4 linked regions of the Oryctolagus cuniculus genome follow. The protein of the gene in region 4 interacts with the protein of the main gene of each other region in a biochemical or structural test. Links are inferred from orthologs where the notes say so. Each region holds a gene or a part of one and is shown on either strand. Other genes may lie near its edges. The genes, in order: CHAF1A, TRIM28, LBR and CBX5.

Region 1 (6,784 bases), on a different chromosome or scaffold from region 4:
CACGTGCCCCATGCCGCCCCCCGGGGGACCGGACAGCTCCCGGCTCAGCCCCCGCTGTGGCAGTCCCCGGGGGGGGGGGGGACCCTGTAAGACCCCACCCTGTCTAGGACTGCGCAGCCAGGACAAAGCAGCGTGTCCGAGCCACGCCACGGCTGCTGTGTGACCAGACGCGGCAGGGGAGGCGTCCTGCCCCGCCGCGCACAGCTGTGGGGAAGCGTTAGCGGGCCAGGACCCGACCCCGCCAAGCCACGGCCACAGGCCCAGGGCAGACACGGCCGCCCTTAGATGGGCCTGCCTGTGGGGTGGCAGGGACCCCGCGGGTGGGCCGCCAGCCAGGGAGGACGCCTGCCGTCTCCTGGGGACAGGCGCAGGGGGGAGAGGCGGGCGTGAGCTGGGGGGCAGCTCCCTGCCCTGCCGCACGTGGCCCCGAGCACCACCACCCAGGCCGCCACACCCTCGGCTCTGAGTCGCTAAAACCCTGCACTGCCGCCCTGCGGCCCCACGGGAGAACCCCGCGCCCCCGCGCGGGTGCAGGCCAGCTTCCCGGGGAGAGCAGGCGGCTGCGCCCACAGTCGAAAGAACAGGGGGCCCCGCCTCTCACAGTACAGGGGCGTCCCGGGGAACCCCGAGGTGCGGGCAGGGCCGGGACCCCGGGCACCAGGCAGTGGGCTGTCCGTGGCCGTCCATGGGACCCAGCAGGTGCGGGCACACCCCCGGGCCTGATGAACGCCGAGACGGAGCCCTGGGACGCCCCGGGGCCGGCCTGCCACGGGAGCCCAATGACGCGCCATGGCTCCGCGACCTGCCCAAGCCCACGCCCACCCCCGCACACAGGCACGCGCAGGCCCGGGGCTCCCCGTGTGCGGAGCAGGGGCGGAGCCGCGAGCCCACCCCCGGCACGCAGGCACGCGCAGGCCCGGGCTCCCCGTGCGCGGAGCAGGGGCGGAGCCGCGCGCCCACCCCCGGCACGCAGGCACGCGCAAGCCCGGGGCTCCCCGTGCGCGGAGCAGGGGCGGAGCCGCGCGCCCACCCGCGACACGCAGGCACGCGCAGGCCCGGGGCTCCCCGTGCGCGGAGCAGGGGCGGAGCCGCGCGCCCACCCGCGGCACGCAGGCCGCCCGCAGGCCCGGGGCTCCCCGTGCGCGGAGCAGGGGCGGAGCCGCGCGCCCACCCGCGGCACGCAGGCACGCGCAGGCCCGGGGCTCCCCGTGCGCGGAGCAGGGGCGGAGCCGCGCGCCCACCCGCGGCACGCAGGCACGCGCAGGCCCGGGGCTCCCCGTGCGCGGAGCAGGGGCCGAGCCGCGCGCCCACCCCCGCACGCAGGCACGCGCAGGCCCGGGGCTCCCCGTGTGCGCCCACCCACCTGCCCGTCGTGCCGCCGCTTCTTCATGAACTGGGTGATGCACATGCTGCCCGCCGACTTCCTCTTCAGGGAGCCGGGCGCGGCCGGGGCGGGCGGCGCGGCGGGGGCGGGGCCGCCGTCCTCTCCGGGGGCCGCGGGCGCCGCGGTGACGTAGCTCCAGCGGCAGGGCACCGGCAGGTGCTCCTGGTCGAAGCGCTGCAGCACCCGCGGGTGCACGTACCAGCACATGCGGAAGTCGGGCCGCTTCTCGTACACCGAGTTCTCCGAGATGAGCCGCTTGAGCCGGGCCTTGGAGGGCACGGCCGCGTCCTCGGCGGCCGCGGGCGGCTGCGGGCGGCCCGGGCTCGGGGGGCGGCCGGCGTCCCGGCCCAGCAGCCCGCGGCGGCAGCGCTCCTGGAACTCGCGGATGATGACCTTGCTCCCGTGCACGTTGCCGTGCAGCAGCGGCAGCAGCTGCGCCAGGACTGGGGGAGGGGCGAGCCGTGAGCGGGGCGGGGCCAGGACTGGGGGGGCGGGACGAGCCGGGGGCGGGGCGGGGCCAGGACTGGGGGAGGGGCGAGCCGTGAGCGGGGAGGGGCTGGGCCAGGACTGGGGGGCGGGGCGGGGCGGGGCCAGGACTGGGGGAGGGGCGAGCCGTGAGCGGGGCGGGGCTGGGCCAGGACTGGGGGAGGGGCGAGCCGTGAGCGGGGCGGGGCGGGGCTGGGCCAGGACTGGGGGGAGGGGCGAGCCGTGAGCGGGGGGCGGGGCGCGGCTGGGCCAGGACTGGGGGGGGAGGGGGTCGCGGTGAGCGGGGCCCAGCTGGGCCAGGACTGGGGGGAGGGACAGGGTGAGCGGGGGCGCAGTGAGTGGGACCGCGGTGAGCGGGGACATGGTGGGGGGGGCGCGGTGAGCGGGGGGGGGGGGCGCGGTGAGCGGGACGCGGTGAGTGGGGGCGGGGCACGGTGAGCGGGACACGGTGAGCGGGACGCGGGCCCCACCCGCTCCCGAGCCCCAGGGCACTCGGGCTCCCGGCAGGCCCCCTGTCTCTCTGTGAGGTAGAGGGGGATCTTGTGCACCTGCCGGTTCACCCCGAACACCCCCCGGCCAGGGCAGGAACCCCGCAGGGGTGCGGGAGGCCCTGATGCTACAGCCCCCCGGGCCCCCCACTCACCCCGCCCCCCAGGCCCCTCACTCCCCCCGCCCCCCCGCCCCCACTCACTCTGCTGGTCCCGCTTCTCCCTCTTGGAGGCCTTGGGCGCCTGCTCGTCGTCCGCGGGCGCCGTGTCCAGGAAGCAGGCCGAGAACTGCTGCAGCACCCGGAGGTCGGCGCCCGCGCAGCTGCCCACCGCGGACGCCCACACGCAGCCGACCTTCACGGGCTGCAGCACGCGGAAGCGCTTGCCCTTGGCCAGGAACTCGTCCCACTCCTTGGCCTTCAGCTTCTGCCGCACCTTGTGGTTCTCGGGGTCCGTGCACTCCTGCGGGGGAGAGCGCGCGTCGGTCAGGGCCCCGCGTGGGCCGGATCCTCCGCGCGCGGCTGGACCCCGCTGCACGGAGCCCGAGGCGCGGGAAGCCGAGCCCTGGCTCCCCGGCCCTCACCTCCGTCACGCCCTCGTCTTCAGACAGGTACCCGTGGGGCACGAAGAACCCGTCGTCCTCGTCCTCGTCCTCTCCCACGTCGTCGTCCTCATCCTCAGGGAGAAAAGCAAGCTCGTCACGCGGGGGAGCAGGGCCGTGGGCTGGGCTGGCGTGGGCGGGGCGGGGCTGGCAGAGCCAGTGAGCCGGGGTGGGGCTGGCGAAGCAGGCAGGCGGAGCCGCGGTAGTGGGAGGGGTTGGTGGGGCGGGGCTGGCAGAGCCAGTGAGCGGCGGGGTGGGGCTGCAGCCGTGGGCAGGACGGGGCGGAGCCGTGGGCGGGGCTGGCGTGGGCGGGGTGTGGCGGGAGCCTGTTAGCAGCCAGGCGGAGCCGCAGCTGTGGGTGGGGCTGGCGTGGGCGGGGCGGGGCTGGCGAGCAGGCAGGCGGAGCTGCGGCCATGGGCGGGGCTGGCAGAGCTAGCGAGCGGCGGGGTGGGGCTGCGGCCGTGGGCGGGGCCGGCAGGGCGGTGTTGGCGTGGGTGGGGCGGGGCAGGGCGGAGCCGCGGCTGTGGGCGGGGCTGGCGTGGGTGGGGTGGGGCTGGCAAGCAGGCAGGCGGAGCCGCGGTAGTGGAAGGGGGCAGACGTGGAAGGGGCGGAGCCGCGGTAGTGGGAGGGGTTGGTGGGGCGGGGCTGGCAGAGCCAGTGAGCGGCGGGGGGGGGGCTGCAGCCATGGGCGGGGCTGGCGTGAGCAGGGCGGGGCTGGCGAGCAGGCAGGCGGAGCCGCGGCTGTGGGCGGGGCTGGTGTGGGCGGAGCAGGGCAGGGTGGAGCCTCGGCCGTGGGCGGGGTTGACGTGGGCGGGGCTGGCAGAGCCAGTGAGCCCGGGTGGGGCTGGCGAGCAGGCAGGCGGAGCCGCGGCTGTGGGCGGGGCTGGTGTGGGCGGAGCAGGGCAGGGTGGAGCCTCGGCCGTGGGCGGGGTTGACGTGGGCGGGGCTGGCAGAGCCAGTGAGCCCGGGTGGGGCTGGCGAGCAGGCAGGTGGAGCTGCGGCCATGGGCGGGGCTGGCAGAGCTAGGGAGCGGCGGGGTGGGGCTGCGGCCGTGGGCGGGGCTGGCGTGGGCGGGGCGGGGCTGGCGAGCAGGCAGGCGGAGCCGCGGCCCTGGCAGCAGCCGGCGGCCTGTCCCATCCCGGCCGGTCCTTACCCCCTCGCTGTGGGACAGCGACTCCCCGGGCTCCTCCTCCTCCCACTCCTCGTCGCTGTCCACCTCGTAGTCCAGCAGCGTCTGAAAGGGACACGCGCAGGGCGTCGGCCGGCTTCGGGGACGCCAGGCCCCCCGGGCGCGGCGGGGTCCGGAGCGCGGGGCTCACCCAGTCCCGGGCCCAGGGGTCCCGCGGGCGGATGACCGTCGTCTTCTTGTTCCACGTGCCCCAGTAGGCCGGCCGGTGGTTCTCGGAGAACTGCAGGAGTTTCATGCGGCCGAACTTCCTCCGCTCCGGGACGCCGCCCACGATCACCACGTCACTGAGGGAGGCAGAGCCCCGCTGAGGCCGGCGCCGGGGGCAGGAGGCCGGCCCGGGGCCCGCGGGCCGCGCCCTCACCTGTTGAACAGCTCGGCGCTCGGGCCGCAGAGCCGCGTGGGGCCGGAGCGCAGGGGCCGCCGGCTCTTGAGGTCCTTCAGGAAGGAGAAGTCGCCGTCCTGCTGCCGCAGGAGCTGGTCCAGCCGCCGGCACAGGTCCTGGCCGAAGGCGGCGCGGCTCTGCGGCGCCAGCACCATGTGCTCCTTGATCTCAAAGGGCGCGAACTTCCCGCAGGAGCCGGCCAGGGTCTGCAACAGACGAGGGCCCGCTGGGACACGGGGCGCCGGCCGCGGCTGCTCCCAGGCCACTAAACACACGGCCGCCCCTGGCACAGGCAGACCGTCAGCGGCCTCGCCCGCGGGGACGACGAGCAGCCCGGGTCATGGCGGGCCACGCCGGGACGGGCGGGCGTCCGGCCTAGCCGTTAGCACAGCTGCGGCCCACGCTCGAGCGCTTGGCTGTGAACCCCAGCCGAGTCCAGCACCCGCGAAGGCAGCGGGAGACCTGGACCGAATCCGCGCTCCTGGCTTTGGCCTGGCCCCGCCCTCAATGTTGTAGGCAGCTGGGGAGGGCACCATCAGATGGGAGGAAGTAAGTGTTGTTTTTCTTAAAGATTCATTTATTTATCTAAAAAGTCAGAGTTACGGGGGGGGGGGGTCCTTCCATCCGCTGGTTCACTCCCCAAATGGCCGCCATGGCCAGGGCTGCGCCAGGCCCAAACCAGGAGCCGGGAATCCATCCGGGTCTCCACGCGGGTGCAGGCCCCAGCACGCGGCCCATCTTCAGCCGCCTTCCCAGGCGCGTTGGCAGGGGGCTGGTGGCCCAGGCGACCGCTCGGCCGGCCATGCCGCCAGGCTGAGTGAACAGCACCCAAGGCCTTGGGGGTGTGGGCTGGGAGCCAGCCCCCGGGGTCTCTAGCTGCTCCCTGGCGACCCCAGCACACAGCCGGGGCTCGGGGACGGGCGCTGGGCACACGGGTGCCACACCCCACGCCCCACGCAGAGGATCGGCCAAGCAGGCGCTGAGGGCGCACACCAGGAGCAGAGGCCGGAACACTGGGGAGGAGATCGGTCGCCCACCCAGAGGCCGCGAAGGGACCAGCGAGCGACGCTGACGCGGAGGAGAGCGCCAGAGAGCAGCCTCCGTGGGCCGCCAAGGACGAGCCAGGCCACACACAGGCCGCCATCTCTCCACAGAAAAGCTCCGGTGCGGCGGCAGCGGGCGGGCGCTCTCCTCCAGGGGCCCCGGGGACGGGTGCGGAGAGCGAGCGCCTCACAGGAGCGCGGGTTCGAGTCCCGGCTGCTCCACTTCCCATCCAGCTCCCTGCTGTGGCCTGGGAGGGCAGTGGAGGACGGCCCAGGTGCTTGGCCCCTGCACCCCCCGGGAGACCCGGATGGAGCTCCCGGCTCCGGCTTCGGCTGGGCCTGGCCCAGCCCTGGCTGTTGGCGGCCACTGGTGGAATGAACCAGCAGAGGCGAGATCTTTCTCTGTCGCTCTACTTTGCAAAGAAACAAACCTACGCAGAAAGCCACTGTCTCCCACTCCTGGGACAGCCAGGCTGTGACAGTTAAAACCAGGCAAGGCTGACCCAGAGCTGCGGGTGCCGGCGTGGGAGGGTCCCAGGACCAGGCTGCCAGTGGCAAGCAGCAGTTCAGAGCCCCCAAAGGGCAGCACAGGGGCTCTGGGAGGGCCTGGGGGGACGGCGGCCCCGGGGCCAGGATGCCCAGGCTCCGGGTGCGTGTGGCGGCCTCTGCCCGTCTCAGCACAAGTCTCTCCAGGGCCCCCGTTCCTCCCAGCAGGCCACTCCGGGGACAAAGCGAGGGACCCGTGCCTCCAGCTGTCACTTAGGAAGCCCCGCCGCCCGCCCGCCCACCGCCCGCTCACCTTGGGCGCCTGGGGTGTCTTTGGTTTCTGGAAGAACCTGGTGATCTCCGCCTTCTCCGCTTTGATGCGCTGCCGAGGGGAGAAGCCGTGAGGGGAAGCCGAGCGCGGGGCAACCCCGGGGCCGCGGCAGGAACCGAGCGCCGGCCCCAAAGGACCCGAGCCGGCGGGCACAGGCCGGGCCAGCCCCGACAGAACCCACCCCTCTACCTTCTCCTCTTCTCGTAACCGTTTCTCCTCTTCCTTTTTCCTCTTCTCCTCCAGCTTGGCCCTGTGAGAGGCAACCCAGTTCAGGCCCCACACGGCCGGGCCTGGCGCCACCACAGCCGGGCCTGCACCCACACAGCAGGGCCTGGCGCCACCACAGCCAGGCCCTGGCTTCACGCGGCCGGGCCTGCACCCACACAGCAGGGCC
Region 2 (7,263 bases), on a different chromosome or scaffold from region 4:
TGACCTTCTGATCCTGATGCCTCAGTGTCTGCCCAGGGACCAAGGTGGGTGTGGGTCACCCACCCTCTACCCTGACTTTGAGGAGTAGCAGGGGGTGGGGCTGTGGAAACTGCTCCGCAAAGGACGCGCACACCTCACTCGGTTCGCAGCCAGGCACTAACTTCAGTTTCTAGGGAAGGAAGTGATCATCCCGGGCTAGGGCCGTGGGGGAGTGGTGAGAATGGAAGGGGCGTGTTCCCGCAGGGGGAGGGGTGTGCGCGGAGGTCGCCGCCGCGAAGGGGGCGGGGCTTGGATTTGGGGGGCCGCGCGCAGCATTTGGAACAAAGGCAGGGGCGGGGACAAAGTCCCGCGGCCCCCAGTCCCCGCCGGGAACAAAGGCCACACCGGCTCTAGGGCCCGACAGGGTTTTGCTGCACGTGTGAGCACCTGGGGCTGGGGTGGGAGGTGCCGTGCCTGGTTCCCCCTTTCGCCGCCCGGCTCGCCACCTTTGTGCGCTCCCGGGAGACGGCAGGGGGTGTCCACTTCTGGACGCGCCAGCCCTCGCGGCCTTCCGCCCCGTCTCAGTGGTCTGGGAACCGAGACCTCGGGATCGGAAGGCCACGGAACAGCGTGTTGGGCTCGTGCCCAGCTGTCGAGTTTTCTGTCTTGAGGGGGCGGATTCCGCTCTCCTTCCCAGCTCCTACCTCCCCTCCCCCAGACCCTGCTTCCTCCCCTCAGGATTCTTCCTCCCCCCCAACATCCCGCTTCCCCCTCAGGAATCCTCCCCCGATTCTAACCCCCTCAGACTAGACCCTCCGCAGACAGGATTCCTCCCCCCACACCCTGCTTCCCTCCTCACACAGGACCCCCTCAGGAATTCTCCCCCCACACCCTGCTTCCCTCCTCACACAGGACCCCCTCAGACCTGCTTCCCCCTCAGGAATTCTCCCCCCACACCCTGCTTCCCTCCTCACACAGGAACCCCCCCCCCCCACACACACACAGGATTCCTCCTCTGACAGGATTCATCTCAGACAGGATTGATTCCTCCTCCGACAGGACCCTCCTCAGGATTCCTCCGCAGACAGGATTCCTCCCCCGACACCCTGCTTCCCTCCTCACACAGGACCCCCTCAGGAATTCTCCCCCCACACCCTGCTTCCCTCCTCACACAGGACCCCCTCAGGAATTCTCCCCCCACACCCTGCTTCCCTCCTCACACAGGACCCCCTCAGACCTGCTTCCCCCTCAGGAATTCTCCCCCCACACCCTGCTTCCCTCCTCACACAGGACCCCCTCAGGAATTCTCCCCCCACACCCTGCTTCCCTCCTCACACAGGACCCCCTCAGACCTGCTTCCCCCTCAGGAATTCTCCCCCCACACCCTGCTTCCCTCCTCACACAGGAACACCCCCCCCCCCACAGGATTCCTCCTCTGACAGGATTCATCTCAGACAGGATTGATTCCTCCTCCGACAGGACCCTCCTCAGGATTCCTCTGCAGACAGGATTCCTCCCCCCACACCCTGCTTCCCTCCTCACACAGGACCCCCTCAGGAATTCTCCCCCCACACCCTGCTTCCATCCTCACACAGGACCCCCTCAGGAATTCTCCCCCCACACCCTGCTTCCATCCTCACACAGGACCCCCTCAGGAATTCTCCCCCCACACCCTGCTTCCCCCTCAGACAGGGCTCTCCTCAGACAGGATTCCTCCCCCTAGACCCTGCTTCAGGACCCCCCCCCCCAGACAGGACCCCCTCTGACAGGATTCATCTCAGACAGGATTGATTCCTCCTCCGACAGGACCCTCCTCAGGATTCCTCTGCAGACAGGATTCCTCCCCCCACACCCTGCTTCCCTCCTCAGACAAGACCCCCCCCCCCCAGACAGGATTCACCTGACAGGATTGATTCCTCCTCCGACAGGACCCTCCTCAGGATCCCTCCCCCCACACCCCCCACATCCTCCTCAGACAGGACCCCCCCCCCCCGACAGGATTCACCTGACAGGATTGATTCCTCCTCCGACAGGACCCTCCTCAGAATCCCTGCCCCGATTCTGCTTCCCCCCTCAGACAGGACCCCCCCCTCGATTCTGCTTCCCCCCTCAGACAGGAGCCCCCCCCGATTCTGCTTCCCCCCTCAGACAGGATCCCTCCCCCGATTCTGCTTCCCCCCTCAGACAGGACCCCCCCCTCGATTCTGCTTCCCCCCTCAGACAGGACCCCCCCCCGATTCTGCTTCCCCCCTCAGACAGGAGCCCCCCCCCCCGATTCTGCTTCCCCCCTCAGACAGGATCCCTCCCCCGATTCTGCTTCCCCCCTCAGACAGGAGCCCCCCCCCCCGATTCTGCTTCCCCCCTCAGACAGGATTCCTGCCGGCTCCCCGCCAGTCTCTCGGGATTCTTCCCAGACCCTGTCTCTCTCTGAGGATTCCGCACTTCTCAGATTCAGTTCGCCCACCTGGGACAGCTTGGAGTCAGGGCAGCGGCAGGGCAAAACACGGGAGGCTAAGCGAGATTTTATGGACTGGGGGCTTTGCAGCTTGCAATTTAAGCAAGTTTTGTTTCTCAAGTTTAACAATAAAACGTTAAAAACCCCGGAGTAAGGCTCCGCGCGCAAACCGCAGCTTTCACGTTGCTCAAGTGACGCCCCTTCGCCCCTCCCCGGGCTCAGCCTTCCCCTAGCCTTGGCCCTGCCCACTCCATCACACCCCGTCCCCTCTCCGGGTCAGCGGGTGCCGCAGCGGCCGAAGACAACCGCACGCCGGGAGAGGGGCGGGGACTGAGGCGGAGGTCGCCCCGCACCGGCTCCAGGGCGTTCCGGAGGCGGAGTCCGGGGCGGGGGGCGGGGCGGGTCACGTTTGTAGGACTCGAGGCCACGCCCCACGGCGAATCAGGGCTCGACTGTGACGTCACAGAGCCCTGCCCCTCACCTCACTAGCCGGCCGAGGTGAGGTTGGCGGTGGTGGGAGGGCCCGGCGCGGGCGCGTGCGTACTCCTGGCCTCGCCCGCGGCGACCGGCCAGGTCCCGCCCCCGGGCGTGCGGCTCCGAACGCGCGTGCGCGGCGGCGTCGGCGCCAGTTATTTCTGTCCCGCCCCCAGGCCGCGGCTCTTTCTGAGAGCGGGCGCGCGGGCAGGCGGTTGTTCGCGTGGCGCGTGGCTCGGGTCGCGGCGGCGGCTGGTTTAAGCGCGGGTGCTGCAGCGGGAAGGCGAGGAAGCAGCAGCCCGCAGTGCCTCGGTATCGCCCCGCGCGCGGCGGGCAGCGGCCCAGGAGACGCGTGGCAGCGCTTGGTCTCGCGGCGGCGGCGGCCCAGCCGTTGGCGGCGAGCGCGTCTGCGCCTGCGCGGCGGGCCCCGCGCCCCTCCTCCCCCCTGGGCGCCCCCGGCGGCGTGTGAATGGCGGCTTCGGCGGCGGCGGCGGCGGCGGCCTCGGCGGCGGCGGCCTCGGCCGCGTCGGGCAGCCCAGGCGCGGGCGAGAGTTCGGCGGGCGGCGAGAAGCGCGCCACCGCCTCTTCGGCCTCGGCGTCAGCTTCGGCCTCGGCCTCGTCGCCCGCGGGGGGCGGCGGGGAGGCGCTGGAGCTGCTGGAGCACTGCGGCGTCTGCCGGGAGCGCCTGCGGCCGGAGAGGGAACCACGCCTGCTGCCCTGCCTGCACTCGGCCTGCAGCGCCTGCCTCGGGCCCGCAGCGCCCGGCGCCGCCAACAGCTCTGGAGATGGCGGCGCGGCGGGCGACGGCGCCGGTGAGTACGTAGTGGCTGGGGGCGCCCCTCCCCCTCCCCGCCGCCCTTTATCCCGACTCTGGGAGATGAGGGGGACCGCCAGGCCCCGGATAGGGCTTGAGGAATGGGTTCTGGGCCCTCCGTGGAAGACCCATTGTGGGTTTCGCGGAGGCTTAGCTTGGAGAGAATAACGCACAGGGAGGGAAGGATGAGCGCAACCTGGATGTGGGCCGGCGGTGGTCTCACGTCCCGTCTCCCAACAGTGGTGGACTGTCCTGTGTGCAAGCAGCAGTGCTTCTCCAAAGACATCGTGGAGAATTACTTTATGCGCGATAGCGGCAGCAAGGCTGCCTCCGACGCCCAAGATGCAAACCAGGTACGTCCTGTCCCAGCCCAGTAGGTTTCTGGCCATGGGGAGGGGGCAGAGCCGTGGAGGAGCCTGGACCAACTCTAGGCATTATCCTCGACATTTCTCAAGGCTCTGGGGTGGGTCGAGGTATCCACATGAACGTGGGTTTGTATTTTCTGCGTTGCAAATGCAGATCTGTCAGGCTTTATTGGATTGGTCTGACCCTACCTTTTCCTGACAGTGCTGCACTAGCTGTGAGGATAATGCCCCAGCCACCAGCTATTGCGTGGAGTGTTCCGAGCCACTGTGTGAGACATGCGTGGAGGCACACCAGCGGGTGAAGTACACCAAGGACCACACCGTGCGCTCCACTGGTGCGTGAGGCGGCGCTGCCTTCCTATGTGTGCTTTCAGCTGCTTGTAGTGCTGATTCCGTTTGGTGGGCAGGTCTTAAGATGGTTTTCTGAGTTGCAAACACCAGGACTCCAAAGCATGGATGCTGGGGAGAGTTAAGGCCGCAGGCTGGGAAGTCACATGCTGTAGTTGTACAGAGGGTTTGAGGACTTCTCAGGGAAATGCAGTGGGGGGCATGAGTCCCAGTAGTGGAGACTTCAGGGTACATAGACAGGGAAAGGTAAGGGAGAGGGGTGCTATGAATTTGGGGCTCTGGCACCTGGCTTGAGAGTGTTGGGAAAAGGGAGGCTTCCAGGATAGGGCAGCATGATAAGCTGCTCTGGGCCCTTGGGCTGTCAGTGCTGGTGAGACCTGTAAATGTTCTAGCTGTGAATACGCAGTTTAGACTTCCTGAACGTTTTCTGGGTATCTGTTGGCTTTGATATGGAAAGGAGCTTGAGAATCTCCTGAATCTGGCCAAGGTTTTGGCCCAGAACCCTCCCATGAGGAATATTTTGGTGGTGGTACTAAGGTTCCTTCAAGCCCAGAGAATAGCACTTCAGGAAGATGGGGCGTAGAGGTGCTGGCTTTAGGGCCTGAGAAAGCAGGCGGGATGGGGTGGGGTCTGCAGGGATTCTAGATTCCGGAGGTTCTAGGCTAAGGTTAGGGTGAGGGAATGGGCGCATGTCAGTTGGGGAAGCCAATTTCTGGCTGAGCCGTGTTCCGATGTGAGACATCTTGTCTTTTTGATTAGCTCTGGGGAGGAAAGGGACCCACGTGCCTGTTGAGGTTTATTAGCGACAGGGAGCTGAGTGGGGCGGGTGGTTTGTGTGTGTCGCTGGAACATGCCTGTCTGTAAAAGTTCCCATGAGAGGGAACAGTGGTGGGGATGGAATTCCCACTTTGAAGTTAGAATAACATCTTCATCTTTGCCTGATTGGGGCAGAGGGTTCTGGGAGCAAGGACCCGGGGCTCTCGAGGTGCTACCAGTACATGGCCTAGGGTCCCAGGACAGGTGGGAAGTGAGGCCTCAAGCTCTGACTGCTACCTGAGGTGCTCAAGAGCAAGGTCCAGCCTCCTGGTTTCTACTCTGCAGGGCCGGCTAAGTCTCGGGATGGTGAGCGTACTGTCTATTGCAATGTGCACAAGCATGAGCCCCTCGTGCTGTTCTGTGAGAGCTGCGACACTCTGACTTGTCGGGACTGCCAACTCAACGCTCACAAGGACCACCAGTGAGTCCCAGGGCACAGTAGGGGGTGCTCCCCTTCCCCAGGTTCAGCACCCAACCTCTCTGGTTGTTCTCAGGTACCAGTTCCTGGAGGATGCAGTGAGGAACCAGCGCAAGCTCCTGGCCTCATTGGTGAAGCGCCTTGGGGACAAACATGCAACGTTGCAGAAGAGCACCAAGGAGGTTCGCAGCTCGTAAGTGTGGGTGCCAAGACTGAGGGGTTCTCTCGGCGAGACCCTGCCTGCCCTGACCTGCCTTTTCTCCTAGGATCCGCCAGGTGTCTGATGTACAGAAGCGTGTGCAGGTGGATGTCAAAATGGCCATCTTGCAGATCATGAAGGAGCTGAACAAGCGGGGCCGTGTGTTGGTCAACGACGCCCAGGTAATCCTCGTGTGGGTGGGAGGGTCCTTGGGTAGCCGCTGCTGGCTGCTGGTGCCATGCAGAGTGGGCAGGGATCCCAGTGTCTGTCTTACTGCCCTGCTGACCTTTTCCATCTGCAGAAGGTGACTGAGGGTCAGCAGGAGCGTCTGGAGCGTCAGCACTGGACCATGACTAAGATCCAGAAGCACCAGGAGCACATCCTGCGCTTTGCCTCTTGGGCTCTGGAGAGTGACAACAACACAGCCCTGTTGCTCTCTAAGAAGCTGGTATGTGTTGGTGGGTTCACAGGTGGGAACCCCAACACCCTCTAGCCCTGTTCATTTCCCATGTTGCTTCATGCCCCTTCCCGCTTGCCCCACCAGATCTACTTCCAGTTGCACCGGGCCCTCAAGATGATTGTGGATCCCGTGGAGCCACATGGCGAGATGAAGTTTCAGTGGGACCTCAATGCCTGGACCAAGAGTGCTGAGGCCTTTGGTGGGTCCCCGTTTTTTGTCCCTGTTCTACTTTGTCGCCACCCTAATGGTACACCTACATAGTCTCTTCTTGCAGGCAAGATCGTGGCAGAGCGTCCTGGTACCAACTCTACAGGCCCTGCACCCATGGCACCTCCGAGGGCCCCAGGGCCCCTGAGCAAGCAGGGCTCTGGCAGTAGCCAGGTGAGCGGGGGAATGGACCCAGGGAGGGGAAGTGCACGGAGTCGCATGCTGTACCTGCCCCACTGAGGTCCCCATGCTCTGTTCTGTGTACAGCCCATGGAGGTGCAGGAAAGCTATGGCTTTGGGTCAGGTGAGTGAGTCTGCCTGGTGGGTGGGAGAGCCCAGTGCCCTGGCTACACATCAGCCGTTCATCCGTCTTTTTCCATCTCTTGAGCAGATGATCCCTACTCAAGTGCGGAGCCTCATGTGTCAGGTGTGAAGCGGTGAGTGTGAGTTCTCTGTGGTGGTAGATGGGAAAGAATGAGAGTAAAGGGAGCTCACGCCAGTATGCACTTACAGGTCCCGCTCAGGTGAGGGTGAGGTGAGCGGCCTCATGCGCAAGGTGCCACGGGTCAGCCTAGAACGTCTGGACCTGGACCTCACAGCTGATAGCCAGCCGCCTGTCTTCAAGGTGTTTCCAGGCAGCACCACTGAGGACTATAATCTCATCGTTATTGAACGTGGTGCTGCTGCTGCAGCAGCTGGGCAGCCTGGGACTGCACCTCCAGGAACTC
Region 3 (7,409 bases), on a different chromosome or scaffold from region 4:
CCCTTCCATATTGCCTGAAGCTGCTCCTGCACTACAGAAAACACATGGCCTGGCCCAGCCAACACTGTTTACAACTTGTCCTTTGCCAGACCCTGGTCTAGAGCAAAGTAGGATCCAAGAGCTGCTGGTTACTGCTCGGCAGTGAGCGCCAGGATTGCTAACAGGCGGACAGAACTGTCATAGCACTTTGACAACCCAACTTAGTGTCTGTTGAATCTTACAATAAAAATGTGTGGCTTTTACTCAGGATGTCTTTTGATTTTTCTACTAATTCATTTTTGTAAAGTATTTGTATACCATCCATCAGGCCCTCACTAGATGGGCTGAAAAGCCATGGGCTGGACTCAAAGCTATTTAATGGCACTCTCAGTTAAGCCCAAACCCCTGGACATGAAAGATAAAAAATCCTTCCCACGCAGCCCTGTTTATCCCTCGGCCGGCCCGACCATCACACCCTTCCAGCAACATCAACTTCGTCATTCCAGTCTGTCCTCAGCACCTGGTCCAGGCTTCAGCTTCCCCGACACCGGGGCCATTCCCTACTCTTGATGTGCTCGGTCCCACCCGCAGCATACATGCAGCCCACCGTAAAGGTCTACTTTCCCCAGTAAACTGAGCTGCTGGGGATCGAGGCTCTGTGCCTTCTTCATGCATCCCCAGAGCCCAGAACAGCATGTGACCCACAGCAGGAACTCGACCCAGAGCCAGAACTCACCACCCTGCCTTAGAAACCGCACTCACTGTAAACACTCTCCGGGAAGCCAGAGGAGCGCTTACCTTGATGTCACTCTCCTTCAATTCCAGCTCAGTTCCATCCTTGTATTTTACGGTGTAGAGCTGAGATTTGCTGTCATGACTCAAAATCTCTACTTCGTAATAAAGCGAACTCCCGGGCCACCGACCTCTTACCACTTCACCATCCGCAAACTTCCTACTTGGCATTTTCTAAAATTAGCCTGAACAATTTTAAAGAAAAAAATTGAGTCAATATGTGCACAGTTATATTTATATTTTTTTCCATAGGCTGATCTCGAAGCTACAGCTTTCCAGATTTTCTTAATAAATGGTCAAAGTGCAGGGCCAGAAGCGTTTCTAGAGGAAAGGGGTACAACTCCTTAAAGATGAGAAAACTGAAGTTTAACAATGTAAATGGCAGGAAACAGCAGGTACCACCACACAGAAGGTGTCCTTTCTGCCACATTGTATCCCATGTGGAATCACTACATAAGGCTGATTTAGCCAGTGTGACACATGCGACACTAAGGATTAGTTATGACAATGTATGCAGGCATCAAATAGTTGCTCTAATGCAAAATGCTACCCACCTACAGTCACCGTATTTCCTGCTAATCGAAAGTCAGAGCAAAAAAAAAAAAAAAAAAAAAAGAGCACAGTCTCGCACAAGACACATTTGCTGACTGTGTATTTGCATATTGTTTTACAAAAGTTTTTAAAATGTTTTCAATTACATTTTAATAAATTGCCTTTATTGAAAACAGACTAGGAAAACCAAAAACGTGCAGCTAATATGCCAATAACCCATCAACAAGAAAAATAATTCTAAAATTAGAATGAATAGCAAATGTGGGCGTTATAAGCTTTTGATTTTTGGAGCCAAAGCCCAAACGTCTACCGAGTAACTCTGCCAACCACCCACGCAGAGCAGCACGCACCTGGCCGTCATCCAAGTTCCCCTCTCTCAAGCCTGTGGCAGACACCGACCCCCCAATTACAACATTCTTTTCCACTGAATCAAAGCCTGGCCCACGAAGCCTGGGATCTACAACACTCCAAGAAGCCACCAACAAATCTGCGAGCAGTGTCACTTCCACGAGGCCTGTCCCCCACCTGAAATGTCAGGTGACTGCTGGTGCCTCCAGCTCCTGGTGGTCACGCTGCTCCCTCTGCTGAGCAGCAGGTCCACCACCAGCGCCTCCGACCCTCCAACACCATGAACCAGCCGGCGGGGGCCCGCTCTGCTCCAAGAGGCAGACAGCAAGACCCATGGGGGCACGCTAAGTCACTTGCAGCTGGCCAGCAAGGCGACACAGGGATGCACATTCCTGTCACAGCCCGAGCCCTCAGACCACTGCGAGAAGGCTGCCCGACCTGGGCCTCCTGGGAAAGTCTTTCCTGAGCACACCTCCCCGCTGTTAATCACCTGAGAAAAACCTGCCCAAGCTTCACTCGTTCACATAGCTTCTAGATAGACAGCAGTAGATTACAGAAAACACAAGTGCTTATCTGGCGATTCAAAGATGTCAGCCAGTTACACATTAGGTAAGAGCCTGCTTTCTTCCCAACACCTGAGATAGCATCAGTGGGTAATGAATGGGTGTAGGCTCGAGGTATGAAGTCAGGCCCGGCCAGGGAGTCACCCTAGGGGCGGGCACCTGAGCAGCGGCCAGCTCTGGACAGGCAGGAGGCGCACAGAAAGGGAAGGTGACAAGAGCAAGCTTTGCCTGTTTCAACACTGAGCCTCAAGCCCCAAGTACGAAGAAAGAGGAAGGAAATGTGCCCTACTTCTCTCTTCTCGTGTGCCCCCTCCTCCCCCTGGGCTCCCCAAAGTCAATCCACCGTCCTAAGTGCTAGTTCTACACTGCTCAACCGGGGTTTGAAGAAGGCAGTTCCTACAATGAAGACTTCAGGGCTACCTGTAAAGGCCCGTGAGCAGATTCTTTCTGGACCTTTACAAAAAATGTCATTTTTTGGACATCTTTGCCTTGCACCTATGACACAGTGCACTCATAGTACTGTGCAATACTGAACACAGGTCAAGGCCAAAAAGATTTTTCTGTTACCCATTAAGTAAAATGGTTTGAGTCAAAGTAAGCCATCTGGTGGATGCATGCTACGTCCCAAAGCTTAGTTTTAAAAAAGATTTACTTAAGAGTTGGGACCTGATAGTGATCTTTCCTGACAGACGCAAAAAAGAAACCAGGGGCCTGCGCTTCAGCACAGCGGGTAGAGCCGCTGCCTGCAGTGCCAGCATCCCACATGGGCATGGGCACCAGTTTGAGTCCATGCTACTCCATTTCTGATCCAGGTCTCCGCTAAGGCCTGGGAAAGCAGTGAGTGGAAGACGGCCCAAGTCCTTGGGCCCCTGCACCGGCATGCAGAAGAAGCTCCTGGCTTCAGATCAGCCCAGCTCTGGCCGTTGTGGCCCTTTGGGGAGTGAACCAATGGATGGAAGACCTTTCTCTCTGCCTCTGCCTCTCTGTAACTGCCCTTCAAATAAATAAATCTTAAAAAAAAAAAAAAAAGAAAAGAAAAAAGGAAGGAAGGGAGAGAGAGACACACAAGAGACACAAGAGACAGAAAAAGAATAGAAAAAGACGACAAAACAAAAGAAACCAGCACTCTGCTTGGGAGACCACTGTCTCACATACAAATGTTCCCAAAGACGAAGCCAGCAACACGCGGACTCCTCCACTTTGCACAAGATCCACACACAACTGCCAGATGGGCGGATATGGTGCAACTGCATCCTAACATAATCTCCTGCAGGGCCAGGGTAGGACGCAGGGCCCCAGACACCTGCGCATGTCATTAGGCCAGAGGGAGTGAGACTGACGAAGATTGGCTTCTCTGGGCAAGGACATTAGCCGGGTGCTCCGAAGGAAAACCCGTTTCCTGACCTCGGTCATCAGGAGCAGAAGCTCCTGGAGCCGCAGCCTCCCCTCTCTTTAGCCGGAGGCTTGCTGACTCTTCCGTCTCAAGAGGCGCCAGCGTGTTACTATTTATCAGTGTTACAATCCTCTGATGCCTTTCCCTGCCGACGACTGTTACCCGGTCTTCCGGACATTCCCTTCACTTTTACCAACTGGTCTGAATGTGACAGAAACAACTCAGGTGAAGGTGCCTGCAACACCTGCGCCGACCAGCACGACGCACAAGCCCTGGCCTCGCTCCCTCCCGCTGCACCCAAATGCCGCCTTCCCGGCCGGCCGTACAGGCACAGCGGCCTTCTACTCTTCCCACTCCCCAGAAGGCTCTCGGAAGCTAAACTTGTCCTGAAATTTGGCCAGGGCCAAAGCAAGCCCCCCTCCCCCTCCTCCCTGGACCCCAGCCTCCCCTCGGAGCAATCCCCAGGGTGCAACCCCGGCCCGCCGGCGTCCGCCCGGGGGGCGGCAGCGGGAAACGCACACCCGCGGCGGGCCGAAGCCCCGGGCCGCCCACACCCGGCCCTGAGCGTGTCCATTGTGTCCCTTTCCAAGCATCGCCGGACAGCGCGGCGCTCAGCCAGAGCGCCTGGAACAAGGCCCCGCGCGATCAAGTGCTCACTAAGTGCCCCTTGAGGCTGCGGGAAGCGCGAGGCAAGCTGTCACTTCGGGGCGGGAGGATCGTTTTAACCTTAAAAGGCTGGGAAAAAAAAAAAAAAAGAAAAAGAAAGAAAAGAAACAGGATCGCGCCGCAGCAGGAGAGAGCAAGCCGACCCAAAACGTCCGCGTTCTGAGACCGCCGGGGCCAGGCACCACAAAGCCGACTCCCACAGCAGCCCCGCGCCGCCGATCTGTCAGCGGCGCTCGACCACGGGACAAAGGCGCCCACCGCCGCCCGCCCACCCCGCGCCGCGCCACCGCGCGCCTCCAACATGGAGGGAAACGTCCGCGGTTCAAAACCCGCCGCTCCACTTCCGCAGCCGCCGACCGCCCAGCGAGCAGGCGGAGCGGGAGGGGAAAGCAGCGAAGGCGAGGCCGCCGCGCCAGGCCCTGCGCCCGAGGACCCCGGCCCCCACGCGGCGCCCGCCCCTGCCTCCCCCCACCCCTGGCCGCCCCTCGGAGGCCGCGCCGCGGGGAGCGGGGAGCGGAGGGCGGGCGCCGGGCGGGGCCGGGGGCTCACCTGCGCCGGGCTCCGGCGGGAACTCACACTGCGGCAGGGAAGAGTCGCGCAGCAGCACCTCCGCGGCGGTTCCGCGCGCGCGACGCTGCCCGCCGCGCTCTCGCGCCCCGCGGTCCCGAGGCCCGGGCGCGCGCGCACCCGGTCCCGCCCCTGGGGGCCGCCCAGAGCTCCCATTGGCCCCTCGGCGTTTTGAATCGTTCCTGGCGCCGTCGATTGGCGGCGCGCCGTGGCGCGTCCGCTCCGCCCCGCCCCGCGGCTCGGCTCCGGAGCCCGGGGACGCCGGGGCATCCGAGCGGGCGGGTCGGCGCCTGGTGCAGCTCGCGGGCATGTTTGGCCCGGCCTTATCTCGGCCGCCCAGGCGCCCTCGCAACCCACGGACCGCGCGCTCCTCGCCTTTACCCTCCTGGCTTTTCGCAGGGGATAATTGGGGGTCCAAGGTGGCTTGGCAGAAGAGATTAAAAAAAAAAAAGCTTGGAAGAAAATAATAAATTCGTATGGTGATAACGAAGGTTCTGAGCCGAAGGTGCTTCTGGTTAAAATGGAATGGGGGCCATTCTTAGCGCGAGCTACGATGCCGCGGCTCCTGAGGCGTCCGGGGGCAGCTGGCGCCCGCACGACGCTGCCGTGGGAAGGGCAAGCCCGCCACGACGCGGGGCCAGAGGCGGAAAGGCCCGCAAGCCTGGCTGTAAGGGACCCCCCCTGGTTCCCAGCCCCTGTGCCCCCTGCAGTCTATCATCATTGCATGGCTGGCTTCCTTCCTTTTGAGGTCGAGAGTTTAAAACAGGCCGGTCGGGCTTCCCTGTTTTGCAGTGTGGTTTTAATCAGAGTCTTTCTCAACCCACTTACCAAGGACACCTAAGTGGATTTCTGCTTCGGAAGCGCGAGTAGGCTTGTTCTAGCCTAACACAGTTACAAAACACTGAAGAAAGCAGGCGGATACGTTGGGCCGCCTCAGTCACTCGCGTTCGGTGTGAATGAGCTCATCGAAGTCCCCCCCACCCCCCAGCCAGGAAATACGAGAACGAGATGAAGGCCGGAGCTGGAAACCAGAAGCCTCCTCGCCCCTCCTGTAACCCTACCCGCGTGTCCATCAAGTAGCCCCCTCGGGGAGGAATGTCTCTTCCCCGGGGCCCTGGGATGGGCGACGCCTGCAGCCGCGCCCCTTCCAACCCTATGAAAGAGGCGGGCAACTGGGCGGGTCTTCCTTCGTCAGAGACCCCCGACTGGAGCTGCTGCCGAAGGTGCCCTTCTCTCCACCTCCGCTTCCCTACGCCTTGTCTACCTCTGGCCTACGCCATGCCTCAACTATGCCCAGGTGTGTGTGCGCTGTCCCACCTTTGATTTAAAAGGCATTTATGAATTCATTTGAAAGGCAGAGTTACAGAGGGAGACAGACACTTCCATTGGTTCACTCCCCAAATGGCCACACCTGCTGGAGATGGGCTAGCCCAAAGCCAGAAACTTCTTCCCGGGCCCCAGCATTGGAACCGTCTTCTTCTGCTTTCCCAGGAGTATTAGTAGGGAGCTGGATTGGCAGTGGAGTGGCCAGGACTTGAGCCAGCACCCATATGGGATGCCAGCATCGCAGGCCGTGGCTTTACCGGCCATGCCACAGCACCGGCCCCTGCTGTCTCACTTTTAAGTAAACTCACTACTTTGCACCCTGTATATGTGCCTGTACTTAGAATGCTTCTCCAAGTGCAAGAAGGCAAGGACCTGGAATAAAATTCAGTCCCACCTCTCCCACTTCACTAAGAACAGGCCCTGACATCAAATTGCCATCACGGTGACAGAATTTGTTTACAGAAATGGACATTACACTTCCAGGTCAGAAAACCCTTGGGAGTTTTGGCAAACCCCTAAGTCTCAGTTGCTTCAACCCCAAAGGTAAGGTAACATTAACACCACTTCGTAGAGCTTCACAAATCAAAGTGCTACACCAGGTCCACAGGGACCCAGCACAGATACCATATCGAGACCTAAGAGATGCTGCTGTCCTTCAAATGTCATTTCCGATCCAGCTCTCTGCTGATGGCCCAGGTAGGCAGTGGAAGATGGTCCAAGTCCTTGGGCCCCTGCACCTGCATGGGAGACCTGGAAGAAGCTCCTGGCTCCTGGCTTCAGATCAGCACAGCTCCAGTGACTGCGGCCATTTGGGGAGTGAACCAGCAGGTGGAAGAACCTTTGTCTCCCTCTCTCTCTCAAATAAATAAATAAAATCTTTTTTAAAAAGTCATAAGATTGTAAATTACTAAAGTCAGCTTAGTTAACGTTATACCTTGCAGATTACTGAAGATGTTTTTTAAAGATTTATTTAGTTTTATTTGAAAGGCAGAGTTACAGGGAGAGGGTGAGACAGAAAGGTCTTCCATCTGCTGGTTCACTCCCCAAACAGCTACAATGGCCAGAGCTGGGCCAATCAGGAGCCAGGAGTTTCTTCCTGGTCTCCCACAGGAGTGCAGGGGCCCAAGCACTTGGGCCACCTTCCACTGTTTTCCCAGGCTATGGCAGAGAGCTGGACCAGAAGAGGAGCAACTAGGACTTGAACTGGCACCCATATGGGATGC
Region 4 (6,784 bases):
GGAAATTCCAAGCATGGATCAAGGGGAGATACTGACTTTTTAAAAACATAGCCTCTTTTGGGGGCGCTTAAGGGGAAGAGGTTCCCAGATGTGCACACAGCTGCTCACAGCTGGAATGCTGGCGCATGGACCCGGCAGTAAATCATAGCTGGCGGCTGAAAACAGTTTGCCACATAGGGAGGGAAGCGGGGGAATGGAAGAAAAATGTTCAAGCTGCTGAAAAGGAGCCGAGGCGAGGAAAATGCTAAAATCATCACACAGGCAGTAATCTTAAATCAGGCATAATGCCGACTAACAAATTTCTTCTGCAGTGGTCTAAGGAGAGAAACCCAATCTTCTTCTGTACCGGTAAAGTACGCAATCACCTATCTCCCCAGCTGCCTCCCTCACAGCCACCAGCACCGCCAAGAATGGCGGCAGGGGCCCCAGATGGACTTCCCAATGTAGGGGATGTGCGGGGCTGATTCTCAAGGCCAGCAGCTTCCTAACCCAGCTTGGGAACAAAACTCTCTGCACTGGCCACTGGCTCTGAGCCAGCTCGCTCGGGTCACTCCTTTTTAAAGGGACACAAACACAGGCGGAGGAAACACACATATGGCTCCTAGAAGTCCTACGCTGGCCTGTTTTTGCTCTTTTCACTTAGCTGGCAAATGCATCAAAGATAAGAGCCAGAATACAAAGGAGTAATAAAAAAAAGAGAAAAAAAGAAATCAAGCCCCAGCTCCTTAGAGAAGGGAACACATTCTCAAATCCTTTATCAGTGCAATAAATCATAATCATGTACAGACCTCACTGCAACAGAGCGGTTTAAAAAACAAGTTGTAAAAAATGGAATTAGTGAAACAGGGAGGCAGACACGAACTGAGGGTCCCCTCCACTCATAGCCTACCATCTTTCACTCATTTCAATTCTTCTCCCATTCTCTCTTCTCTGGAGGCCAGGCATCGTCTGCACAGCCTTTATAAACGCTGTTGCCTGGACCCAACACACAGCGAGGCAAGTGCACCTGCTCTGGGGTATATCCTGGGCAGTGGAGATTTCTTTGTTCCCTGCAGGGAGGGGTGCTGTGATCTCATGCTCTACAAAGACGGAGCCCAAAGAGAATGCAGAGAGATGGGGACCCCTGTGGCAGCGGTGCTGGGAGATTCAGAGACGGACTTCCGCTCTTACTTTACTCAACTCTAAGTGTGTGATATATCCTTCACCACAAAAGGCTTTATAACCTTGACATGAAAGGAATGAAAGCTGGGGGGTTCACTGTGTGTTTGCAAGTACACCCACAGATGGAAAAGAGGGAGATGAATAAAACAGATGGGTGGGCACTGGCACAGCCGTGAAGACTGCCGCCCGGGACACCCACAGCCCATATCGAGTGCCCAGGTTCAAGAGGCAGTTCTGCTCCCGACTCCACTTTCCTGCTACTGTGCAGCCCAGAAGGCAGCAGGTAATAGCTCAAGTAATTGGGTCCCTGCCACCTTATGAGGGAGACCTACATTGCGTTTCCAGCTCTTGGCTTCAGCCAGGCCTAGCCGTAGCAATTGAGGGCATTTGGGAAGTGAATTAGCAGATGGAAGATCTCTGTCTGTCCTTCAAATAAACAAAATAAAACATTTTTTAAAAACTTATTAAAAAAAAAAAAAAAAGACAGTAGCAATGCTTGTGCTGGTTGCCTGAGAGCTACAGAGCAGAAGGAGTCAAGCAAATGATCAAACTAAAATTTCCTAACTCTTCCCACAGTAAATAATAATGGTTCCAAATGAAGGGGAAAATTAATTTCTTTTTTAAAATTTTACTTATTTGTTTGAAAGGCAGAGTGAGAGAGAACGAGATAGCAAAAGAGATCTTCCATCCTCTGGTTCACTTCCCAAATGGCCAAAACAGCTGAGACTGGGCCAGGCTGAAGACAGGAGCCCAAAAATCCATCCAGGCCTCCCATGTGGGTGAAGGGGTCCAAAAACTTTGGCCATCTTCCTCCACTTTCCCAGGTGAATTAGCAGGGAGCTGCATTGGAAGTGAAGCAGCCAGGACTTCAACCAGCACCCATAGAGGATGTCAGCATCATAGGCTGACAGTTTAACCCACTGTGCCATAACACTAGCTCCCTGAAAATTAATTTCTTATTCAGATTATGTAGAAATAATATGATCAGGAGAGAATATAAATGCCACTGAACTGTATCCTTTACAATGGTTAGTTGCATATTATGTTTCTCTCACCTCCATTAAGAACGAGAGTATAAAGGGTTGAAAGTGAGTGCCATTCTTGAAAGAAAAGAAAAAAAATGGCAGACATTTCAAAGCTCTTTTCCATTCTTCCAAAATTCACCAAAGATCCTCCTAAGATAACTAAGACATCTGTTTATGGAGAGGGCAGAGAGTGGTTTTAAGTTTTACTTAGATGTGATTTTCCCACCTTAAAACTATTCAGTAGTCACAAATTGTGTTTCTCACTCAGCCAGGAGGGGGCACTGTGGCTAACCAACACACCTCCTGGAAGCTCTTTTGTTCAGCAATTCAACAATTTAGCTTGTGGGTCATAGTCCACGGTTCGAATAGAAATAGGGTGGTTTTCTCTCTCTCTCCCTCCCTCCCTCCCTCTCCCCTTCTCGCAGCAAAATAACAGTTTGTGAAGAAAAAAGGAAAGGAAGCTTACCTCTCTCTTTTTTTTGGACTTGATATCATCAGCGCTGTTGGAGAAATTGGATTTCCTCTTGGTGCTTTCTGACTTCTCCCTGGGTTTGTTGTTCTCACCCTCCTTCATCTTCTTGTACTTTTTCATAAACTCAGAAATTAGCTCAGGGCAATCCAAGTTTTTCTCAGGTTCCCAAGTATTATGCTCCCTGGGCAAGAAAGACGGGGAAAAAGAAAACAAGGGCATAAAAAATCCAATACCTTCAGAGAGGCCATGTAGCACAAAGGACAGACACCCTATCCTAAATTTCTACACGAGAGCAATGAAGAAAATATGTCCACATGGACACCCGGACACAATTGTTTACAGCAGTATTTAACAGTCAAAACCAGAAAACAATTCAACCGGTGAGTGGATAAACGAAATGTGGTATATCCATATAATGGAATACTATTCAACAACAACACCAAAAAACAAAATACTAATATAATACATGCCACAACTTGGAAGAACTTCAAAAACATGCTGAGTCAAAGAAACCAGGCCCAAGAGAGTATATATATGAAAAGCCTAGGAGAGACCAATTGAGAGACAGAAAGCAGATTGGTGGTTGCCTAGGGCCATGGCCTCAGAAACGCTCTGCAAGTGGAGTGTGGAGGCGGCTGCACAGCTCTAAAAAGGTATGGAAAATCACAGAACTATAGTTTCCATGGACGAATTTTACAGTGAATACATTATATTTCAGTAAAGCCATTAAAAAAAACCAACTTTCGCTCATGGAGTGGTTCCCACACATTATCATCTGTGCAACAGCTAAAGAGAGGACAGCCTGATACCTCGCGCACCCTCACTGTCCACTGTCTCCAGGGGTACTCATATTTTGAAAAAATGCCAGTGAGTGTTAGAGGATTGTAACCAGTTATTTAGAAGGCAGTATGGTCTTAAATCATTACAATAACGGCGAACCAAAAGATGACGAAGAAGCCGACGTGGAGTACACGAATCCAAGTGCTCTGGACTCAAGTCTGTAATCAGCTAGTGGTCAACATGTATTGTTACATTAACAAAGCTGAGCAATCACATCTAACTAACTCTGGTTCAAGGGAGTGCTGTTTTGAGAATAACTGGTATTCTCAAAATTCTCCTTTATATTCCCAGCATAGATTTTAAACCAAAACTAACCACACTATGAGTTTATGAAGTCAAACCAAGAAATGTACCCACATGGGAAAAACTGGACCAGGTATCACCTTTCCCCTTAGTCAGCGGCAACCAAGGTTCTTCGAGCTGTATTTTAAGGACTTATTTCTACTAAGACACATCTATAAATATATTATAGTTTCTGTAAATCCCTGATTGACTTGGGGATAACTCTTTAACCTTATGCTCTAATCATATCTAATAAGATGTTTTATTATTTTTATCTTTTAAATTTAAGCAAGGAATCTTTTTGTCTTAAAGATCTTCAATTTCAAAAGCAGAATTACATATTGAGAGAACTTCCATCTGTTGGTGTACTTCCAAAGTGGCCTCAATAGCTGGGCCAAGCCAAAGCCAGGAGCCTGAACTCCATCTGGGTCTTGCACCATGGATGGCAGAGGACCAAGCACTTGGGCCATCCCCCACTGCTTTCCCAGGCACATCAGCAGTGAGCAGGATGGGAAGTGGAGCAGCTGGGACAGGAACCGGCATCCACATGGGATGCCGGTGTGCTGTGACTTACGACAGCCCCTACATAAGGAGTCTTTAGATGGGAATAGTTTTTAACACACACCAGCCAAATAATCTGACTCAACCAGGGAGAAGAACGATGAGAAAATCTCAGCTATTTACTTTAGACCTAAACAACTTCCTGCCAAGAGTGCCAGATTCAGACAAAATTAATTTCTAAATCATCTGAGCTAATACTGGAAGAACATCTCCTTTATATTTCCCCACACAGTAACTTTCCCCTAAGCTCTCAAATTGTACAGTTTACAATCCCAGAAGAAATTAACGCACCAAGTCAAGAAAGGGGCCCTATTCTAACACGGCAAGTAGGCCTGGGGGCAGGGGGTGGGGAAGAATCCCTGCTGATGGGAAGACAGCAGTCCTAAACAGGGGTTATCCTTTTCCCACCATTTTGATACTGCTGTTTCTACTTCAACTACTTTTCACCCCAAATACAGTATAGTATAATTAAGAGCTTAGGTTTTAGGGCCAAAGACACTGGATCTTGGATGACTGTTCCACCATCTTCATGTTACATTATCTTCAATAAATAATTCAGCTCATTTCCTCCTCTGTAAAGCGGCAGAATCTGACCACTGACCAGCACATCCTGTAGCCATCCCCCTCCCCCAATCTGAGGTCCCACTTTTGTGCTCTCAGCTACTGTGGTCTGAAAATATTAAAGGGAAATCCCAGAAATAAGCAACTTCTAAGTTCTAACATGCACACCCTTCTGAGTAGTGTGATGAAATCTTGCACGGCCTGGCTCCGCCTGGGCTGGAACGTCAGCCGTTCCTTCATCCAGCCTTCCCTCATCCCCCTGCCCATTAGTCCCTTGGAAGTAGCCCCAGTCAGACAGACTGAAAACTGCAATGCTCGCATTCAGTGACCCTTCTGCAGCAGCCTAACACCGTGTCACAGTGCCCACATCATCACAAAGTAAGAGTTCTGGGGCTGGCATTGTGGCACGGCAGGGAAAGCCACCACCTCTGATGCCAGCAGCCCATGTGGGTACTGGTTCATGTCCCGGCTGCTCCACTTCTGATCCAGCTCTCTGCTGTGGCCTGGGAAAGCAGTGGAAGATGGACCAAGTCCTTGGGCCCCTGCACCCATGTGGGAGACCTGCAGAAAGCTCCTCGCTCCTGGCTTTGGCCTGGCCCAGCCCTGGCTATTGCGGGCATCTGGGAGTGAACCAGCAGATGCAAGAGCTTTCTCTCTCTGTCTCTCTCTCTCTCTTAACTCTTTCAAAGAAATAAATCAATCTTCAAAAAAAAAAAAAAAGATATTTTGAGAGACTACATTCGTAGAACTTTCATTATAGTATAATAGCTGTTGTATTCTACCATTAGTTATTAGTGGTTAATCCTTACTTGGGCTAATTTATAAATTAAACGTTATCACAGGTATGTATGCACAGGACAAACAGGTACTCAGGGATCAGTACCAGGCACGGTCTCAGGCACCCACCTTAGCTTGCAGCAGATAAGGGAGCATTGTGTGGAGGGTGTCCACTTGCAGACAAGGCTGAGGCGGAGCAAAATCTGGCCCAGTCTTTCATGAACCCAGGGCAATCACGAAATCATGACAAATGCTCCATCTGTCTACCACAGATCCTTCCCTCTCTGACCTATCATGGGGTACCAGAGCACCTCAATGGCAAGGAGACAGTTTCAAGGACCTTTCAAACATCTGAGTATTTCTAGCGGTGAGTCAATGGGCCCACCAGATCCCCTCAACGTCTTGAGGTGGCTACTTGAGTTCCTATCTCCCAGTGCTCTGGGTCTCTCAAGCTCAAGGGTTCTCGTATCTGGGGAAAGGATGACAGCAATCCTCCTGAGAAATGCGGACAGCATCTTCTGACTGCTGTGCCGCAAGTGCCACATTGGGGCTGGGAGAATGCGAAGTATCTCACGACGCATGAATTGTCCCACCTAAAACACCAACAAGCTCCAGATGAGAAATCTGAACCTGGGTACTGAAATAACCTGCAGCATGTTCCAAAGGCTCCCGACTCACATCTTTATCCAAAAGTAAAGGCAAAACATTGACGTTTGTAGTACACATAGATCCTACCTTTATTATTTTTTTTTAATATTTATTTATTTATTTGAAAGTCAGAGTTACACAAAGAGAGAAGAAGAGGTAGAGAGAGAGAGGTCTTCCATCTGCTGGTTCACTCCCCAATTGGTTGAAATGGTGGGAGCTGCGTCAATCCAAAGCAAGGAGCCAGGAGCCTCTTCCAGGTGTTTGCATGTGGATGCAAGGGCCCAAGCACTTGGGCCAACCTCTACTGCTTTCCCAGGCCATAGCAGAGAGCTGGATTGGAAGTGGAGCAACCAGAACTCAAACCAGTGTCCACATGGAATGCTGGTACTGAAGGCAGTGGCTTTACCCGCTACACATTAGCGCTGGCCCCCTGAAATTCATTTTAATGATATATTTA

What was found.
Region 1: the proteins of CBX5 (region 4) and CHAF1A form a complex in vitro, tested with the Homo sapiens proteins (2 studies listed by BioGRID). The link is inferred for Oryctolagus cuniculus from reciprocal best matches to the Homo sapiens genes CBX5 and CHAF1A.
Region 2: the proteins of CBX5 (region 4) and TRIM28 form a complex in vitro, tested with the Homo sapiens proteins (6 studies listed by BioGRID, with this or other methods). The link is inferred for Oryctolagus cuniculus from reciprocal best matches to the Homo sapiens genes CBX5 and TRIM28.
Region 3: the proteins of CBX5 (region 4) and LBR form a complex in vitro, tested with the Homo sapiens proteins (2 studies listed by BioGRID, with this or other methods). The link is inferred for Oryctolagus cuniculus from reciprocal best matches to the Homo sapiens genes CBX5 and LBR.

The regions. Positions count from the first base shown.
Region 1 is NC_091447.1:59,794,056-59,800,839, reverse strand, and holds part of CHAF1A (chromatin assembly factor 1 subunit A), read right to left. Parts: intron 6,641-6,784; coding exon 6,580-6,640; intron 6,442-6,579; coding exon 6,373-6,441; intron 4,737-6,372; coding exon 4,510-4,736; intron 4,433-4,509; coding exon 4,279-4,432; intron 4,194-4,278; coding exon 4,113-4,193; intron 3,035-4,112; coding exon 2,942-3,034; intron 2,821-2,941; coding exon 2,562-2,820; intron 1,828-2,561; coding exon 1,364-1,827; intron 1-1,363. UniProt on the Homo sapiens protein: Acts as a component of the histone chaperone complex chromatin assembly factor 1 (CAF-1), which assembles histone octamers onto DNA during replication and repair.
Region 2 is NC_091449.1:97,472-104,734, reverse strand, and holds the start of TRIM28 (transcription intermediary factor 1-beta), read left to right. Parts: upstream 1-2,974; 5' UTR 2,975-3,377; coding exon 3,378-3,720; intron 3,721-3,962; coding exon 3,963-4,075; intron 4,076-4,289; coding exon 4,290-4,422; intron 4,423-5,536; coding exon 5,537-5,672; intron 5,673-5,745; coding exon 5,746-5,862; intron 5,863-5,935; coding exon 5,936-6,050; intron 6,051-6,169; coding exon 6,170-6,316; intron 6,317-6,412; coding exon 6,413-6,527; intron 6,528-6,602; coding exon 6,603-6,709; intron 6,710-6,802; coding exon 6,803-6,839; intron 6,840-6,926; coding exon 6,927-6,972; intron 6,973-7,048; coding exon 7,049-7,263. UniProt on the Homo sapiens protein: Nuclear corepressor for KRAB domain-containing zinc finger proteins (KRAB-ZFPs).
Region 3 is NC_091444.1:40,006,466-40,013,874, reverse strand, and holds the start of LBR (delta(14)-sterol reductase LBR), read right to left. Parts: upstream 4,999-7,409; 5' UTR 4,843-4,998; intron 957-4,842; 5' UTR 943-956; coding exon 778-942; intron 1-777. UniProt on the Homo sapiens protein: Catalyzes the reduction of the C14-unsaturated bond of lanosterol, as part of the metabolic pathway leading to cholesterol biosynthesis.
Region 4 is NC_091442.1:57,187,174-57,193,957, forward strand, and holds part of CBX5 (chromobox protein homolog 5), read right to left. Parts: intron 2,840-6,784; coding exon 2,653-2,839; intron 1-2,652. UniProt on the Homo sapiens protein: Component of heterochromatin that recognizes and binds histone H3 tails methylated at 'Lys-9' (H3K9me), leading to epigenetic repression. In contrast, it is excluded from chromatin when 'Tyr-41' of histone H3 is phosphorylated (H3Y41ph).